Linked DNA regions of Neurospora crassa OR74A. The protein of the gene in region 1 purifies or fractionates together with the protein of each later gene. This does not show direct contact. Links are inferred from orthologs where the notes say so. Each region holds a gene or a part of one and is shown on either strand. Other genes may lie near its edges. The genes, in order: tng, NCU02207 and NCU08535.

Region 1 (6,251 bases):
ATCAAAGGAAGCAAAAGACAAGACCTGTCACGAGCCTCAACCTAGGACCTCGTACACGACTTCGCTAAGTATGAACAGAATAGACTATAGGTTGATATAATATTAACTAATAATCCATCCACCTTAACAGATATTGACGGGACGAGCACTCTTATATGACAGAAGCTATGCGCTCTGCCGAGCGGCTGAACATCTTCTATGCTATGGAGTTCTATTCTCGTCATCTCAGTGACCTATCATTACAAGCCTAGTGTACACCTTTCTATTATACATACCAGACGCCATCTCAGCATCCCTTAGTGAGCTTAACTGCCTGTCAAAATAGACTTGTCTTCAAATCCCATCTCCTCCAGCTCGTTAGTAACGACGAACATCAAACATTAAACCTATCATTTACCTTTTCGTTACGTACATGGATCAAAGAAAGTTATAATGACGCTTCAGTTAGAAGGGACATTGAGAATTCGTCGTTCTGGATTCGGGGAGGGAGCAAGGGCATGCTGCTGTTGACTGGCGTGTCTCAAAAGAATCTAACCTCATGACAGGCCAGAGGTAAGTAGGGTACAGATTACAAAGACAATAAAAGCAAACATAAAGAAATGGGGCATCACTGGCTGTTTTTGTCTGAACGAAGTCATCAATACATAATATAGATCTCAATCGCAGTCTGGATTAGGTAAAACCAATTAGAAGAAGAGTGCAGTGGTAGACGGACGAGTGTCCTTTGATACTACTGACTGAGATACAACGAAGTGTCTGTCTTCATAGTATATGTCTACACCTCTGCCAGCACCGCACCAGAATAATGTGGCTGATTTCAGTTGTGCTAGGTATTATAAACCCATGAAAGAAAGTAAGACAAGTACATACGACCATACCCACTGGAAAACTCGGGATCCCGTCCGCTCTCCCATAGATAAGCCAGTGAGGGCCAGACTAGTAGTTGGGTCGGTGACGACCAGCGAATCCCTGGTGTTGTATGTTTTTTTTTTCTCCTTAGTTTCCCGTCCTTTTTCTTCGTTTCCTCTTACCTTTCATGTTCGTTCATGCCCGTGACCTCGAGGGTCAGCTCTTGCACTGGCTCTGGCTATTTGTTGGATGTTGGTGACAAGAGAGGCCTTGTATTGTTGGGAGCCAATCAAGAGATCGAAACAATCACGCACAGACCACAATCTTGTGTTTTGGTTGTCTCCAGTTGCCCCTATTATTTGTGTTTAGCCAAAATCATCTTCCCTGCGACTCTCCCTTCATAGCTATCATCAAGTCCGCCACTTCGCTTTGGTGTTGGCTCCAACACTTAATGATTGAACAACGGTAAAAGCCATAACAACGGGATAGTGGTCGCTGGCACTTTCATAGCCTCATTCTGGCACTTGAAACACAAAATTGGGTAGTATAACGCCTCGGAAACGCCAAGTATAAATCCCAGGCAGAATGTCATACATGAAAATTAGGATCCTTGGAGTGGTTGCCACCAATTCCCGACGACAAAACGTGACCTGCCCATAACGCAACGACATGCTTTCTTGACAACAAGACAATCATAACACCGCCCTCTCACCTCACCTCGCGCCCTCGATGTTCTGTCATAGGAAGTAGTCACCCAGCCCCCTTCGGCCTGCGGGGATATGCCGTTGATCGTCTGGCACGGCCGAGAAGATGCTGAACTTTGTGTTTTGGTCGCGGTCCACCGTCATGATGGATGCGACGTTACCGCAACGGTAACAGTAGTTGGGTGCCGACCATACGGTTACGACCGACTTTTCGGCAAAGTGGAACTAGATGAGAAACGCAGGTTAGCTGGCATTCCTTCTCATAACTGTGGAGAGCAACAAAAAGTGATGACCCACCTTGTAACCCTCATTTACCAGCTGATGCGCTCTTGCAATGGTTGTCAAACCGTTGACGTGGTTGAACTCTGTCGCGACCTTGTCTCCGAACAGCCAACCAGCGCCACGTGGACTGACAGCCCATGTATCGACGTCTTCTGGGTCACTCCACACAAGATCGCAGAAAGCACCCTCGTGCGGAATCTCCTGAGCACGCGCAACGACGCGGATCTGGTCAATCGTGCGGATCTCGGGACTGAGACCGCCGTGGACGCAGAGAACGGTACCGTCGACAATGGCGGCAAGAACAAGAAAGTCAAACACTTGGCAGCAAGCCTTCCAGACAGAGGCGTTGCCGTACTTTTGCTGGCACTCCTCGTAGAAACCGTAGACCTGGGTGATTTGTCGGGACTCGTGATTACCGCGCACTAGAACAATGCGATCTGGGTATCTGTTGGGCGAAAAGTGTCAGCAGCGTGAACCGAACCAGAACTAGAACGGGGGGCCTTCGTACTTTGCCTTGAGACACATGAGAAGGGTAAATGTCTCTAAACTGAAGTACCCTCTATCCACGAAATCTCCGAGGAAGACGAAGCGAGTATCGGCCGATTGAGAGCCCGTGTTGGCGCTGGATTGGGGGGTCTCTTCACTTGGGGATTCCTTCTCGCTTCCAGCCCCAGCCTCACTGTCTGTACTGCTCTTGATCTTCTTCTTGAGGTTGGGATCTGTGATTTCCGTTGGGGGCTCGATGTCCTCGGATGTGATGACGGTTGTTGCGGTCTTGGGCGCCTGGACGTTTGTCTCACCGGGCATGCCACCAGCAACGCGAAAGAGTTCGAGGAGATCGTAGAATTGGCCGTGAATATCACCGCAGATGGTGACTGGCGTAACAACAGGCTGGATGTTCGATTCTGATGACGTGGGGACACAAGTCAGCTGGACAAGTTCCCTTGTCGTGCGCGCCTTGGGAACACGGGATGCGAACGCGCGCGCGCGCGCGGGCATGTGTAATCCTGACTAGTAGTTGGTGCTCAAGTACCTTCCATAAGAACTTCCTTGACAATTTCGCAGAGCTGCTTCATGACAGGCTCAGGAAGGTAATGACATTGTTTCGCCTCCTCCAGCCACTCATCTAGACCGGCTCCGGGACGAAGATTAGCCGGACCCGGCTTTGGAATCGTGGACATGATGGTTGTATATAATCGGACTCGAGCCTTTTGGTGTACGGGCTGTAGTTGCAAGATGGGCGAGCAGCGAGCAGCGGGCGAAATATCTTATCAATCGAAGGGATGCTTGTGTAAGGCTGCGATGGAACTTGGGTTCCGCAATTGTTAATGTCGCTAGATGAATCGCGGGTCGCAAGGATTCGTGATTGAAGGGTCCTGGGGCCACCAAGTGCAAGTGGGAGGGCACTGCTAGACTTAAGTTGTGTTGTCGGGTGTGTTGGGTTGTTGTTTGTTGTTGGGATGAAATTCTAAGGATGACGACGATGCCGAGCGCGGGATCTGGATGGCTGAGGTGAGGTTGAATGGATGGGGCTGGAATCAACCTCGACCTCGACCTCGAACTGTGACCGGGCGGGCAGCCTGCCACCCACCCACTGGAAACCTACTGGTACTGTGAAGGTACTGCGTGGGACCCGTGGCCAACTGCGGTTTGCCAGTGGGCGAGTGCCCTGAATGGATTGCGCTGCAGGCCAAATCACGCGCGCACATTGGCGCCGAGAGCTGCCCCCCTCAGCCGCTGTGGGTCTGTGCACTCCCTTAAAGCAAACGAAGTTCTGGATCCCCGGAATTGCGGGGCACTTGGATTGTGGATTTCTTATCGAATCCGATAAGGCTGAGCGGTAGGTACCGCCGTACCTTAAAGACCAAGCTCCACCCTTTCCACTTCACTCAGCAATCGCATCCCGTCATTGCTCTTTGGATTTGTTACCCGAAACACTCATCCAACACCGCTCGCGCCAGCCGCGCCCTCCACTCTCACCAACATCGACAGCTTGATGTAAACTGTCGTTTCTCCAAAGACGGAGTCTCCCATCACGACACGAGCCCCCGCTGGTCTCGACCACCAGTACTTAGTACGCCGACAGACAGCTCTATCAACCACCGATAGACAATCATTCCGCCAATACTGTGAGCGAAGCATGAGGCTGTGATTTCTACACTAGCTCGAGACTCCACCCAGAAACTACACATACCCCGACCATTCCAAGCCACGGTAGCTTCAAAATTCAACCATGATGGCGGCGCCCCAGCTGCTTCTGCGCAAACCTAATGGCACCGCTGCCGGCCAGGCCACCAATGATGCCCAGAACGCACCCAAGACCAAGCCTCAGTCCGAGGGCGAAAAGGTGGTTGTCCGTCGACTTCCTCCCCTGCTAACCGAAGAAGAGTTCTTCAAAATCCTCGGCGATGAATGGAAAGTCGGCCATGGCAAGGTTGACTGGTTTTCATACTGGCCTGGCAAGAGCTCCCAGCAGTAAGTACATCACCGCAGCTTCTCCCCAACGCGCTTCTCACACAATCATGTGTCACAGTCCCTCACGGCCATCTCGACCCTCCCGCGCCTATATTCACGTTATCAGGAAAGATGACCTTTTAGTGCTCTCACAAGCTGTACAGAATGGCGTTTGGGAGGACGCCAAGGAATCATACAACGACCCGGTCCTGAACCTGCCGCCCACAGTCGAGTTGTCGATTCACAAGAAGATCCCTAGCGACAAGAAAAGGGTGGATAACCGCCAAGGCACTATCGACCAGGAGCCTGAGTTTATGGCCTTTCTTGAGAGCCTTGCCAATCCCGATGCCCACAAGACTACAGATACCGCCGGTGAACCGAATGCCGAGGAAACATCAGCCAAGCCCGAAAAGGTCACCACCACGCCACTCGTCGAATATCTTAAGGAGAAGAAAGCACAGAGAGCCAAGGAGGCGGCACTTGCCCGGAGCGCCAAGCAACATGCTCGACAGGAATCGCAGGGAGGAAAGACCAAGACTGCCACCGCGACTATTACTCTGGAGGAGTTGAAAAAGCGGGCTAGAGAAGCCAAGGGCGAGAAGACGGATAAGGTTTCAGAGAAACCGAGGGACAATGTCAAGATTTTGACAAGAAGGGGCGCATCAAGTGCTGCAGCGGAAGCCGCCAAAGCTGCCAATACGGTTGCCAGCCAGATCCAGGACAACGCCCGGTCCAGCTCAAAGGCCGACTCCCAGACCAAGGCCGCCCAGAGCTCGTCACAATCCGCCACTCAGTCGACTCCTTCCGGCGACGCAACATCGGAGCTACCCAAGAGTCGACGGGCAGGCATCGCCGCAGCAGCACGCATCTTACAACGTGACCTGGGCCTCAGCCCGGGCAACGCTCACAGAAAGGCACGTCAGGAGGCAGCAAAGGCTGAGGCTGACGCAAAGGCCAGCGCTGCTGCTACTGCCAGTGCCAATGCCAGTGCTGCCAAAGAAACTGCATCCAGGGAGAAGAAGGAGAAGGAGACAACTCCTGCGCCGGCTAGCTCTGAACGCTCTTCGACGCCCGCCAATGCTGCCGACTCTTCGGCTGTTGCATCGCCTTCGGCGTCTGCTAGGGGACGAGAGTCAGCCTCCGGAAGAACGCGCGGAAGGAGAGGCCGAGGTGGGACTACAGAGGAAGGATCAAAGTCAAAGGGAACAGATGCCGGCAAGGAGACCAAACCTGCTGAGGTCGCGACACCACAACCGCCAATCAAGCCAACAATGATTCTCAAGAAGAGGGATTCCACACAGGCGACTCCATCTGCACTCTCGACGCCTTCGACGCCTGTAAATGCCCAATCGCCGGCCTTATCAGCCTCGCAAAAACCTAGTTCTCCCAAGCAGCCTTCCACTGGAGGCAGGCAAAGGGGTGGTGGCCGCGGAGGCGAAGCTAAAGAGAACGTCCAGCCCGGTAACAACACAGCCAACACCCCATCCACTCCGGCCCCCACAGGTCCAACCCAAGCCTTCATCAAGCACGCTCACCAAACACAGGGCGTCACCGAGTCAACACTACGCGAGGCTCTGCAAGCCTTCGGCGCCATCAACTCCATCGATTTGCGAAAGAAGGGCTTGGCCTACGTCGACTTTGCGGACCCCGAGGCGCTGAAGAAGGCTATAGCCTCGAGTCCCGTAACGATTGCGCGGGCGAGCGTCACGATTTTAGAGCGCAAATCGGATACCGATAAGAAGGAAGATGGCGGCAAGGATAAGGACAAGGAGACTGCTGCTCCCGGACCTGCGGGGGCGAGTGCACTAGTAGAGAAGGAAAAGACGGTGCCAGAGAGGGAAAAGGAAAATGAGAAAGAGAAAGCACCAGAGAAGGGGAGGGAGCGAGAAAAGCGCGATGATGAAAGAAGAAGGGGAAGAGGCAGGGGCAGAGGACGCGATGGCGGCGGCGGTGGCGGCGACA
Region 2 (6,088 bases), on another chromosome or scaffold:
GAATAAGAAAGAGCATCGTTACCAAGTGGCCCGTCGTACGCGAAAGGCTCCAAGATGTAAAGTGGACTGGAATGTTAGATGGCCAAGTCTAGATGCAGGGACGAGTGTTGATTCAGAACTCCAATACCGAGGTGAATGTGTACGATATGCTGGAACATCCCCAGTTCAGTGCGGCGTGGGATATTCAAAACAATGTCTTGCGTTGAGGAAGGAGGGTAGGAAGAGACAAGAGAAAGCTATCCTGGAACTCTTCGCAGAGCGTGGACGGTGATGCAGTAATATATCCGTGTAGAGGTACCTATCAGCAAGGCTGCAAATACAAGAATTCTCATAGAGGAGAGGAAGAGGTTAGGAACGACCTGCATGATGCACTCCCATGACATCAAGTTGTCGTGTTCAGTTCTTGTTGCTAAACAAATGCGGTACCAAGAGTCCACATGTAGGTCAAAAGACGAGTGGCATTCCAGACAAGTTCATCTCAGCTGGAAACCCTTTCCACCTATGTACTACTGGAGGACTTTTAGCCAGTCTTTCCTCGCTTGATGCGACACGAGCCTCATGTCCTACTTACTACGAGAATGGGCGTGGATAGCCACCATCTCGGGACCGAGCCTGGTCGCCAATGAGATGCCAAACAACCCGAGCAGGAAGAGACGGAAGGAAGACTTCTTCTCTGCGTCCTTGTAGAAAGTGTTTCCATCTCCCTCACCCGAAATCCCGAATTGGTACATTTGAGCTGACATTGTCACATTATTCCGTGCAAGACTGGATCCGCGCGCTCGTCTAATACGCCGTCCCTTTATCACAAAACTCTATTAATACTCGAGCATATTTTGCGGTGAATCTTCGCACAACATAGCCATGTTTCACATACAGGTCCTCCAGTCGGTGTCAAGGACAATTCGTCCACCATTTGACTATACGGCCCGTATGCATCCAAATTACACAAGAAGACCGGAATCAATTCTAGAAGACAAGGATTTCCACGACTTACGCGGCTTCAGGCGACTAAACAATGCTGTGTCTCCGGACTCCCGAATTCATTAGCGGATTACCCCACGGCACGACGAACTCAAGGCGAGGCGTGGTATCTCAAGGGAAGAGAACAATTGGTAGTCTTGTTCGTGACTACTACTACGGCGCAGCAATCTGCCTTCCGTTCGGTGACGAGGTCTTGATGAAGCTCCGGGCTGGGCCTCCTCCATGCCGGTCCCCGGAATCATCCCATCGTCCCGATTCGGTCTTCATCATGTCCCGCTCTCCGCCAAACCAAAGGTTTCGAACCTTCCCCAAAAATACTACTGAAGCAGCCAAGCAATTCGCAGTACCTGTAAGTGAGTAGCATTTGCTGTCTAAGACAATTTGTTGCAGCTGTTTCCTTGGTCCGGGACTTCGGTCACCGGTGACAATCGTTACAGATTGTCCGACATACACAACGACGGGAACGACGACGGCTTTCCAAGCCTCACTTCAATACAACTGGAAGGAGAGCTCCAGTCATGGTCAGAAATGGCTCTCGAGTAAAGCAACGAGATATATGAATCCCCACGATACTACTATCCCAAGTACCAAGGCTTGCCCATCTTCTCTAGCAGTCAAAGCATAGAATTATAGGAACAATCCCACCAACCTAAAGCTATACCCCCAAGTGCAACTCACTACTTAGCTATCATCATGTCCACCGCCGCCGCAATCCCCATCGCTTCCTTCGGCAACAACCCCGAGGTCGCTCAAGCCATTCGCGAAAAGCTCCTTCCAGAATATGACGGTTCGTCCATCCCTTTCTCCTTTCCACTACGTTCACACCCATTCCCCATTAGTATATCTACATCCACCTTCCACGTAATTACTCACCCAAACTAACCTCCCCGTTCCCCTCCCCTACTAGTCGTCCACACAACCCTCACCCTCTCCACCTCCCTCTCGGAACTCCCCCCTCTCTGCACCGGCACCTTCTCCCACCTCCCCTCGTCAAACCTCGGCTCCAACGCCACGGCCGCCACCCCAGCCGACCTCAAGGTGCCCAAGGCCATCATCTTCGGCGGCGGCGTGTCCCCCTCGGACGCCGAGCAAGTCAAAGAAGCGGTGCTGGCCAAGAACCCAGACATCAAGTTCGTCCGACTCACGCGGGAGGATATGGTCGCCGCGGGGGCCGAGGGGCCGGATCCCGAGGTGATTGGACGCTTGTTGAAGGAGAGGTTGGCCGAGGCTTTGGCTTGAGGCTTGAGGCTTGGGGAAAACAACTGAACCTAAGTACTTGGCTCGTGTTTGGTGTAGTTCGGGATGGGGCTTGCTAGTATGCTGGATATGATGAAGGAGGATGGAATGCTCTTCAGTGGGAGTTTTTATTTCAAAGGGTATAGGTGACTAGGTCAGGTTGGGATGAAGTGTTTGAAAGGGGGGTCGAATGAAGGATTGGAGGGAGGTTTCCTACCAGAAGCTGTAGGAAGTGTGTTCCTAACGTTGACAGTCATGAAAATATGACACTCCTTCCCTGATGTTTCGTCGAATAACGTTGAATGAGGTAATATCGGCATGCATCTGAATGGACGATTGGTGGATCTCTCTCCGACACAGAAAAAGGTAGAATATTACATACACGATGAAAGGCTGGCTAGTCAAGTTAGGCGGCAGACATGAGATGGCGTGGTTATTAGTTTTGGGTCTCTGCTATATCAGTTGTGGCATCATTTGGCGCACGGCATGACATCGTGGTCTGACATCAACAAGAATCAAAGGTCGGGCTAGTATTGGGACGGCGAGACCACACACCATCAAGCATTCAGCACTGCTATGCTCAAGGTCATTTACATAGTCTGCTCTCCACCAACTCTCCTCGTCCATCAAAAAGTACGAGTTTAGTGCCTCTCCCGCCTCCTGGGGGCCGCTCTTATTATGTCGTCCACACGCAAAAGCAACTATTCACGATGGTTAGCATGCTCAAAGCCGTATTCAGCATTGAAATAGGGGTTACATACCTCAGCGGCTTCACTGGCCGAAGAAACAACAGCCTTCTTGAGCTTGTAACTCTCAATAACACCCAAGTCTCTCATATCGGCAATACCGCCGCCTGGTGTCATGAGATCCAAACCATAGGTGGTCAGACCGTCATAGATAGCCTTGCGCAAACGGGCAACAAGGTCGCCAGAATCGAGACCAGCGTTGTCAGCCAGGATGGTAGGCAGTTGCCTGAGAGCAGTGGCGAAGGCAGACACAGCGGTCTGTTTCTTGCCCTCAACCCGAGTAGCAGCACCCTCAACAGCCTTGGCCATAACCATCTCAGCGCATCCACCACCCAGTGTTGTCCTGGACTCCTTAACGGTCTGTGAAAGAACGGCAAGAGCGTCGTGCAAACTTCTCTCGGCTTCGTCAAGCAACTGATCGGTAGCACCGCGGAGAACGACAGTGCAAGCCTGGCCGGCAGCCGTGCCGGAGAATCTGATAAGGGTATCCTCGCCAATAATAATCTCCTCAATCAAGTCGGCATATCCAAGCTTGACCTGCTCCGGGTGGTCGAAGGTAGAAGCGATTTCACCGCCGGTAACGAGAGCAAGGCGCTCAATGCCATCGAAATCGGCATGCTCGATCGACATGATGCCGGCATCGGTGAACAGCTGCTCGGGCCAGTTGTAAATCAACTGCCTGTTGATGAAGCAGTTAATGCCGTGCGCCTTGATCTTCTCAACCTTGGCCTTCATCTTCTCCTTCTCGGCCTTCTCAAGCTCGGCGAGCTTGCTGGTAGAGTTGACCTTGACGCGCGCACCAAAGATCTTGACCTTGTCGGTATCCATCGATGTGTTGGCAATAAGGATCTTGGCCTTCTCGAGGCGCTTGGGCTGATTGACACCGATCTTCTTGTCGAGAATAAAGCCATCGTCGAGATATGATTCGCTGAGCTTGCCACCGGACTTCTTGATGATCTGGATGTGGCTAAGGTCGGCGGAACCCTTCAGGCGCAGAATGGCCTCGGTCGCGAGCTCGGCAAAGTGGTCTCTGTCTTGGGCAAGAATCTTGGAGCTGAGTGTCGTGCGCGCGATGGCGACAAGGTCTTTCCTGAACGCCTCGGGGTTGCTGCTGTGGTCAACGGCAGAGTCCTCGAGGGCCTTGAGCGCAGCCTGGCTAGCTATCCGGTAACCCTCGATGATAGTCTGAGGGTGGATCTTCTTGTCGACAAGCTTCTCGGCCTCGCGCAAGAGCTCGGCGGCAAGGACGGCAACCGAGGTGGTGCCATCACCGACTTCGTCGTCCTGGACCTTGGAGATGTTTACGAGGACCTTGGCAGCGGCGTTGTCGAGAGCGATAGACTTGAGGATAGTAGCACCGTCGTTTGTTACTAGAATCTCACCGGTCGAGCTGGATGTTGTGATGGTGCGGTCAGCACATGACGGCGGCGTGTCAAGCATGTAGGCGGGGGGTTTGGTGAACAAGCATACGCAGACTGGAGGATCTTGTCCATGCCCTTGGGACCAAGGGTGCTCTTGACGAGGTCGCCAACAGCAATGGCGCCGACGAAGGCGCTGAGACGGGCATTCTCTCCCTTCTCTTCTGTGGTGCCCTCCTCGAAGATCTGGGTGGGGCTAAACGAGGCCTGGAGATGGTCAGGCGGTTGGTTAGTTACGGTGAGCTCGGAAAGATGCCCAAAGTGATGTACAAATCAACTTGCCATGATGTAGAAGAAGCTTAAGTATTAGACAAAAGGTCGGGGATACGGGGTGCACAGGGGGTTGAGGTTGGAAGAGAAGAAGAAGCAATTGAAGCTTGGTAGTACTATATTTTGGGTGGACGTTATGGATACCCTGAACGCGAAGCCTCCTTTCTACAACAATCTGCCAGCAGCGGGACGGATGATGCTCTTCTGAATTCCAGGCACTTTTTGGACGGCAGGCCACGGCAAAATTCCAGAGCTTCCTGTTCCTCCTTTACCTCACCGCCTGCGACAGGTGGCATAAAATGCTTGTCACTCGCATGCCAGGCCGTCTGCCCCTCCTTTGACAGACAAAATGTCCACTTGAGGTGAGTGGGCAGCAGGGGACCCCACTTGGACGTCTTCCGTGGGGAAGGAAGAAAGGGGGGGGGAGGGGAGCTTTGGGCTGGCAGCGGCGGCGGCGGCGGTGGATAGTGGTGGACAGCGCAGCCAGCACTTTGAGAAGCGAGGAGCCCAGGGGACTACCGTCGAGGCTCAAAGCCAAGAGGAAAGGGAACCTGAGTCGGTGCAACGAACGAACCGCAACCTTCAGTCCACTTCTTGACTTCAAAGTGATGGCAACTTGAAACCTGTAAACTCTGCTGAAAGCGGACAGACGTTGCCATGGTCAATATTGGTTCCGTGCACAAACGAACAATGCTTAGCCCACTGCCTGCCGCCATCATTTTGTTAAAAAGAAAGGAAACCGAAAAAGTTGTAGTTGATGAAGAATAGAGACAGCATCGAGAACTTGACTTTCCCAGGCTGAGTGTTCATTGCGACTGTGCAATATCCATGATATCTGAGGCTCCGTCTTCTTTAACCTCCAAACTATCCACCCCATCATTGCATTCACTGACATAAATTCCCATTTTGGCGATTCCAGAGAGAGGGGATCTGGTAGGGTAGCCAATCAACGTGCATTATTGCCTCCTAAAGTGGGGCATTCCCTTCACTGTCTTCCCTGGTTCTCTGGCCGTTCTCACTGAACCCCACCACAATCTGCGCGCTGCGCACAAATTCTCACAATAATCCTGACGACCGCATAAGCCAGCACGTTGTTCCGCCCGCGGCATCGCAGAAAAAATCCGAAGCGGCCAGCCCAGAATCCCGTCATCCACCAAGTCCAACCACCACCACCACCACCAGAGGCGCCTTCCCGACCCGTACATCGCCAGCTACCACTAATCCCCGGCACCCACCAAGCATAACAGACTGCCGATTAATTGCCCAGCATGGCGCCCTCTTTCGACCACCTCCGCGACGAGGACCTCGACGAGGATGACTTCGATGTTGATGAGGTCGACATTTCCGATATCCGCGAGAAGTACGAGGTTCAGCTTGAGCAGGGCTACGATGCCTTTGTCGTTGTCGACGGCCTCCCCGAGGTCAACGAGGAGCAAA
Region 3 (6,413 bases), on another chromosome or scaffold:
TGGCTGTGGGGGTGCAATATAGTGAGTTGTCAATACCCTCATTTTGGCGAGTCAGAACCATTTCGATAGCAAGGAAAAAACTCGATCTCTCTGCCGTCAACAAAAGAAGCGAATGTGCGCTCGGGCCAAAGGGTTGATTTCAAGGCAGCAAAAGCAGACTTGTTAGGGCCATGTAAGGGTGCCGTTCCCGCGGACGCGGACAACATGTTGGGGATCTGCGGGGCCCGGCGCCCGCACTAACATTTTCGTTTGCTGCTGTGCCGATCCCCTGAAAAGGCGCTGAACCTCGCCAGCCGAACACAATCCTTGGTCGTCCCGTTCAACCCCTCAGTGGGTGAAGATATTTTGGTTGTTTTCAAGGCGAGGCTCGTTCAATTGTTCCATGTTCAACCCTCCGTCTCACGCGGGGAGGTTCGGCCTTGTCGGGGGGTTTCCGCACAAGGTTTTTGCGAACCCAACAAATCTTAGGGGTACGTACCGAAGATCTCATCGTAATTTTCATACATGCCGTTACCGTGTGACCCACCCGACGCCACTTCGCTTTGGGGTGGAGGTGCACCCCGAGTCCCTGACAGCCCGGAATGAGATGGACTAAGCACGTACCCTATGTAACCACTTTCGGTGACTTTTCATCATCGGACATTGACTTTTGCGCGCCGTATGTACGAGACTAAACCGATGTCTGTTAGCTTCATTGAGAGGACGGCCATATCATTCAGTCAGCCGCCAATGTTCGTTTTGGAAGCCTGTCATCGCCAGTGTTGTCCTTGTGTTGGCCTCTTCAAACCATTCATTGTCTTGCCATTCTCCCCACGTTCCACCGGGGTATTGACCGGAGGTTACATGCGCCCATGTCGCACTAGACGTCAGCTTTCGGTCGGCCGGTCTTTTGAACGCCGGAGCCCCACGGACAAGCTAATGACAACATGGGAAGTTAAGGTCCATGATCCCCATGATTCGGTTGTTGTGTTGTGCTGGATCCGTGTTTAAATTGCGATGTGGGCTGGAGGTTGGGTGTGGAAGACTGCAAGCGTTGTGACGGACATCATCTGAGCTGCGGTATGGCGTAAGACAAGAAACAGGCGGGCCATCATGCTGATTTGAACGAAGATGGAAGTCAATGGAAGGGCAAGAGCAGAAGGGCGTCTAATAAGGTGAAAAAGAGAAACAGAGCGGCTACAGATGTCATGACTACAGCAACTCTGAATCACGTCCGTCTGCGGCGTGAAAATGACTGCATCCGGACTTTGGGCCGTGCTTCGTGAGACAAGACCATCGGTCAGTACAGTACGTAGCGGGGGATTCCCGGGTCAGTCCGAGCAGCAACATCAATGTCTTTTGTCTATCAAAGTAGTGTAGACGTCAAGAAGAATCAAATCAATTCGCTGCTATATGAGAACTTGTGGACACAACAAAAAGCTGTAAGAACGACTCGAGGTCGTGTGTATTCGGCGTACGAAGCTGACGATTGGCAAAGGTGTGGTTGGGCAGTCGCCTCGGTTCCTGACATTGTGATTGGAGCAGTGGGCCTTCCCCAACGATCCCGTTCGGGTGAGAATCGACGTCCGTGATTGGGTGATTGCTGACAGTTCTCAATTGGAACCCACCTTCGGCATCGCTTTGGCTAAATCTACCCCTCCCTCCCTTTCCGCCTTTTTTTTGGGCGAACCGGCTTGGCACTTGCCCCTGGCTTCTCCAATTGACGAACTGAACCCCAAAGGTTCCCAAACCTTGCCGAATCTGAAGGGCGAATCCCACCTTGATGCCATCCACCGCCTTGGATAGGCAGGCGGGAGCAAATGGCAAGATTGGCCTCGATAGCGATACCATTTGGCGGGGTTGAAATGTCGCAGTGGGGGACATGGACATCAGAGCAGCAACGACTCAACTCCAGGAGAGCAGAAAGATGAAAGCAAGAAGGAAGAGATGGGGGGTATCAAGTAGGTATTTATGCATTATCGAAAGAGAACGGACTGACTTGAGTTGTCCGAGTTCATCCCGTTTCGCTCTCGGTCCTTGTATTGTTTTGGAGTTGAGGTTGAGTGTGGGCGCAAGTGGAAGAAGTACATGTGGTGTACCTGTACCCAATTGCCCCACTTGTGGCTGCGATTTTCCCATCAAACCCGCAAAGTTGGTGTCTCGAAGTCGCCCATTTGGAAAGTTCGGACGCAATACCGCGGCATTACAACGAATCTTTCACGGCCGTCTGCTCGCTCTTGCCCCTCCAGCTTCAAGTATCAAAAGGTTCCTGTCGCCCTCTTCCGGTCGCCTCCTTCCAGGTTGCTTCGTCCCTTCACTCCTCCTCGCTCCCTCTGGTCCTGTGGTCTGGTCTTGCCGTCCTCGTCCAATTTAGCTTCAGGAATTTCGTCGTCCCTCCACGTCGTCTTCCTCTCCTCCTTCCTCCCACTCTTCTCTCTCTACCTTAAGGTACCAAGACCTTTTTGACCAAGGCAATCGCGTGCGGCAAATCCTCCCTCCTCCAGCCAGCACCACTCCATCCATCTTGGTTTGCTCCGTCAAGATCTTCACTTTTCTTGCTGCACCTTCTCCTTCTTGCTCAGCCTCTTGCTAAGCAGCCTCGACTCGATTGTTTATTGTTGACGTCGACATTGATCGAGCAATCGCACGACACACACTTTCCCCTTACATCCCTGCAGAGATACCCCGTGCGGCTTCTGTCGTAATTTTCCACCCACTTTCCAACTTCTCCACGACAACTTGACTCGGTGAGTGTTCCTCTCTGCGTTCACTGCACCTGCAGGCAGCTCCCTTCACTCCCCCTCCCAGAGCACCGCACCGGCCCATTAGCACAGCCAGCATGTTCCCAGTCCCCTCCTGCTTGTGCCTGGACTGGACACAACTCGACTCGCTCTACACCCAATTCCCCGATACCCAACAAACCAAAGCTGATGCGACCACCGCATCCACCACCCTGCCACTCCAGTCTCTTTCCACTACAGTACCATAACCCTTAATTACCACCAGCTGCCCCGCCTCACGACATTCTGCCACACCACATCTTTGCTTTGCCGACGAGGAGCTGGAAACTGACAGCATCATTCTTTTTTTGCAGGCGATTTGTTAGCTGAGCCGAGCTGAATAACCGAAACACTCCACTGACCGATAACTTGAATTCGGCTGTTTCGGGAAATAGGTATACATCGACCGAGTGTAACATTGAAAGCGGCTTCCTCCTCCCCGCCTTCGATCCACGACGACGACGACGACGACTCCTCCGACTCGACAAAACAACACCACATATTTACAGACAAGATGGCGGACACAACAGCGAGCGACGCCGTCGTCCAGGCTTCGTATGCCGCCAAGCACAACCTGGCCCCCCATTTCATTGGCGGCAACAGGCTTGAGAATGCCCCTCCCTCCAAGGTCAAGGACTTTGTGGCCTCCCACGATGGTCACACTGTCATCACCAACGTACGTTTCCTCGCTCTCCCGGCAGTCCAACGCACATTCCGCTAACATTTGCTTGTTTTCCAGGTCCTTATTGCCAACAACGGTATTGCTGCCGTCAAGGAGATTCGCTCAGTAAGGAAATGGGCTTACGAAACATTCGGCGACGAGCGCGCCATCAAGTTCACCGTTATGGCCACCCCCGAAGATCTGCAGGCCAACGCCGACTACATCAGGATGGCCGATCACTATGTTGAAGTCCCCGGCGGCACAAATAACCACAACTATGCCAACGTCGAGCTGATCGTGGATATTGCCGAGCGTATGGATGTCCACGCCGTGTGGGCTGGTTGGTGCGTAGACAAGAGTCCTGCCTCTGGGGTTGATGGTATGAAAATACTGACTGTTCGAATAGGGGTCACGCCTCCGAAAACCCCAAGCTCCCCGAGTCCCTTGCGGCTTCCCCCAAGAAGATTGTCTTCATTGGTCCTCCGGGTTCTGCCATGCGCTCCCTTGGTGACAAGATTTCCTCGACAATTGTTGCCCAGCACGCCGACGTTCCCTGTATCCCTTGGTCTGGTACCGGTGTTAGCGAGGTCAAGGTCGACGACAATGGCATTGTTACGGTTCCCGATGACGTTTACCTCAAGGGCTGCGTCAGCTCGTGGCAGGAGGGTCTGGAAAAGGCCAGGGAAATTGGTTTCCCAGTAATGATCAAGGCCTCCGAAGGTGGTGGTGGCAAGGGTATCCGCAAGGTCCTCAACGAGGACAACTTCGAGTCGCTCTACAACGCTGCCGCTAGCGAAATTCCCGGCTCACCCATTTTTATCATGAAGCTCGCCGACAGCGCCAGGCATTTGGAGGTTCAGCTTCTTGCTGATCAGTACGGCAACAACATCTCCCTTTTCGGCAGAGATTGCTCGGTCCAGCGCAGACATCAAAAGATTATCGAAGAGGCCCCCGTCACCATCGCCAAGCCCATGACCTTCAAGGCCATGGAGGAGGCTGCTGTCCGTCTTGGTCGTCTCGTCGGTTACGTCTCGGCCGGTACCGTCGAGTACCTCTACTCCCACGCCGATGACAAGTTCTACTTCCTCGAGTTGAACCCCCGTCTGCAGGTCGAGCATCCTACCACTGAAATGGTCAGTGGTGTCAACCTTCCGGCTGCTCAGCTCCAGGTTGCCATGGGTATTCCCCTCCACCGCATCCGCGACATCAGACTGCTCTACGGCGTCGACCCCAGGACTGCCAGCGAGATCGACTTCGAGTTCAAGAACCCCGAGTCCGAGAAGACCCAGCGCAGGCCTACCCCCAAGGGCCACACCACTGCCTGCCGTATCACCTCCGAGGATCCCGGTGAGGGTTTCAAGCCATCCAACGGTGTGTTGCACGATCTCAACTTCCGTTCGAGCTCCAACGTCTGGGGTTACTTCTCCGTCGGTTCTGCCGGTGGTATTCACAGTTTCTCCGACTCGCAGTTCGGTCACATCTTTGCCTATGGCGAGAACCGTGCCGCCTCCCGAAAGCACATGGTCGTTGCCCTCAAGGAATTGAGCATCCGCGGTGACTTCCGTACCACCGTCGAGTACCTCATCAAGCTTTTGGAGACTGAGGCCTTCGAGGAGAACACCATCACTACCGGCTGGCTCGATGAGCTTATTTCCAAGAAGCTCACTGCTGAGCGTCCCGACCCCATTCTGGCCGTTGTTTGCGGTGCCGTCACCAAGGCCCACATTGCGAGCGAAGGCTGCATGACCGAGTACCGTGCTGGCCTTGAGAAGGGTCAGGTCCCCTCCAAGGACATCCTCAAGACTGTCTTCCCCGTCGACTTTATCTACGAGGGTTACCGCTACAAGTTCACCGTCACCAGGTCGAGCGCCGATAGCTACCATCTCTTCATCAACGGCTCCAAGTGCACTGTCGGCGTTCGTGCTCTGAGCGATGGTGGACTCCTCATCCTTCTCAACGGCCGCAGTCACAACGTTTACTGGAAGGAAGAGGTCGCTGCTACCCGCATGTCGGTCGATAGCAAGACCTGTCTGCTGGAGCAGGAGAACGATCCCACCCAGTTGCGCACCCCCTCTCCCGGTAAGCTCGTCAAGTACACCGTCGAGAACGGCGAACACGTCAGCGCCGGCCAGACCTTCGCTGAGGTCGAGGTCATGAAGATGTACATGCCTCTCATTGCCCAGGAGGATGGTATCGTCCAGCTTATCAAGCAGCCCGGCGCTACTCTCGAGGCCGGTGACATTCTTGGTATCCTCGCTCTCGATGATCCCAGCCGTGTCAAGCAGGCCCAGCCTTTCCTCGGCCAGCTTCCCGAGTTTGGTGCCCCTGTTGTTGTCGGCAGCAAGCCCGCTCAGAGATTCCGCCTTCTCTATGACACTCTTCAGAACATCCTCATGGGCTACGACAACCAGATCATCATGCAGCAGACCCTGAAGGATCTGATTGAAGTTCTTCGTGACCCCAAGCTCCCTTACAGCGAGTTCACCGCTCAATTCTCAGCCCTTCATGCCCGTATGCCTCAGAAGCTCGACGCCCAACTTACTCAGGTCCTCGAAAAGGCCTCTTCGCGTTCGGCCGAGTTCCCTGCCCGCAATCTCGGCAAGGTCTTCCAGAAGTTCCTGGACGAGAACGTTGCCTCCAAGGTTGACGCTGAGCTGCTGAAGACCACCTTGGCCCCTCTCACCACCGTCATCGACCAGTACTCTGAGGGCCAGAAGGTCCATGAGCTCAATGTCATTCGCGATCTTCTTACTTCTTACGTCGAGGTCGAGCGTCTCTTTTCTGGCCGTCGTCTGCAGGACGAGGAGGTTATTCTCAAGCTGCGTGATGAGAACAAGGAGGACATCAAGAAGGTCACCCAGACTGTTCTCTCTCACAGCAGGGTTGCGGCCAAGAACTCGCTCATTCTCGCGATTCTGGACGAGTACCGCCCCAACAAGCCCAACGTTGGCAACGTCAGCAAGTACCTTCGTCCCGTCCTTCGCAAGCTTGCC

The links.
Region 2: the proteins of tng (region 1) and NCU02207 purify together in Saccharomyces cerevisiae (affinity purification with mass spectrometry, with the first as the bait; 4 studies listed by BioGRID). This does not show direct contact. The link is inferred for Neurospora crassa OR74A from reciprocal best matches to the Saccharomyces cerevisiae genes SIT4 and CCT2.
Region 3: the proteins of tng (region 1) and NCU08535 purify together in Saccharomyces cerevisiae (affinity purification with mass spectrometry; 4 studies listed by BioGRID). This does not show direct contact. The link is inferred for Neurospora crassa OR74A from reciprocal best matches to the Saccharomyces cerevisiae genes SIT4 and ACC1.

Annotation. Positions count from the first base shown.
Region 1 is NC_026502.1:723,641-729,891, forward strand, and holds tng (serine/threonine-protein phosphatase ppe1), read right to left. Parts: upstream 3,416-6,251; 5' UTR 3,017-3,415; coding exon 2,869-3,016; intron 2,741-2,868; coding exon 2,344-2,740; intron 2,281-2,343; coding exon 1,851-2,280; intron 1,779-1,850; coding exon 1,587-1,778; 3' UTR 1,179-1,586; downstream 1-1,178. Other genes in the region: NCU03435 (hypothetical protein), read left to right, coding at 4,069-4,310, 4,369-6,251. UniProt on the Saccharomyces cerevisiae protein: Involved in the dephosphorylation of the large subunit of RNA polymerase II. Is required in late G1 for normal G1 cyclin expression, bud initiation and expression of certain genes that are periodically expressed during late G1.
Region 2 is NC_026507.1:3,332,722-3,338,809, reverse strand, and holds NCU02207 (T-complex protein 1 subunit beta), read right to left. Parts: upstream 4,915-6,088; 5' UTR 4,667-4,914; coding exon 4,664-4,666; intron 4,589-4,663; coding exon 4,434-4,588; intron 4,354-4,433; coding exon 2,979-4,353; intron 2,919-2,978; coding exon 2,859-2,918; 3' UTR 2,495-2,858; downstream 1-2,494. Other genes in the region: NCU02205 (hypothetical protein), read right to left, coding at 237-409, 572-743; NCU02206 (hypothetical protein), read left to right, coding at 1,675-1,768, 1,889-2,220; un-10 (eukaryotic translation initiation factor 3), read left to right, coding at 5,920-6,088. UniProt on the Saccharomyces cerevisiae protein: Molecular chaperone; assists the folding of proteins upon ATP hydrolysis. Known to play a role, in vitro, in the folding of actin and tubulin. In yeast may play a role in mitotic spindle formation.
Region 3 is NC_026503.1:5,003,119-5,009,531, forward strand, and holds the start of NCU08535 (acetyl-CoA carboxylase), read left to right. Parts: upstream 1-2,209; 5' UTR 2,210-2,726; intron 2,727-3,073; 5' UTR 3,074-3,273; coding exon 3,274-3,435; intron 3,436-3,498; coding exon 3,499-3,764; intron 3,765-3,826; coding exon 3,827-6,413. UniProt on the Saccharomyces cerevisiae protein: Carries out three functions: biotin carboxyl carrier protein, biotin carboxylase and carboxyltransferase. Involved in the synthesis of very-long-chain fatty acid synthesis which is required to maintain a functional nuclear envelope.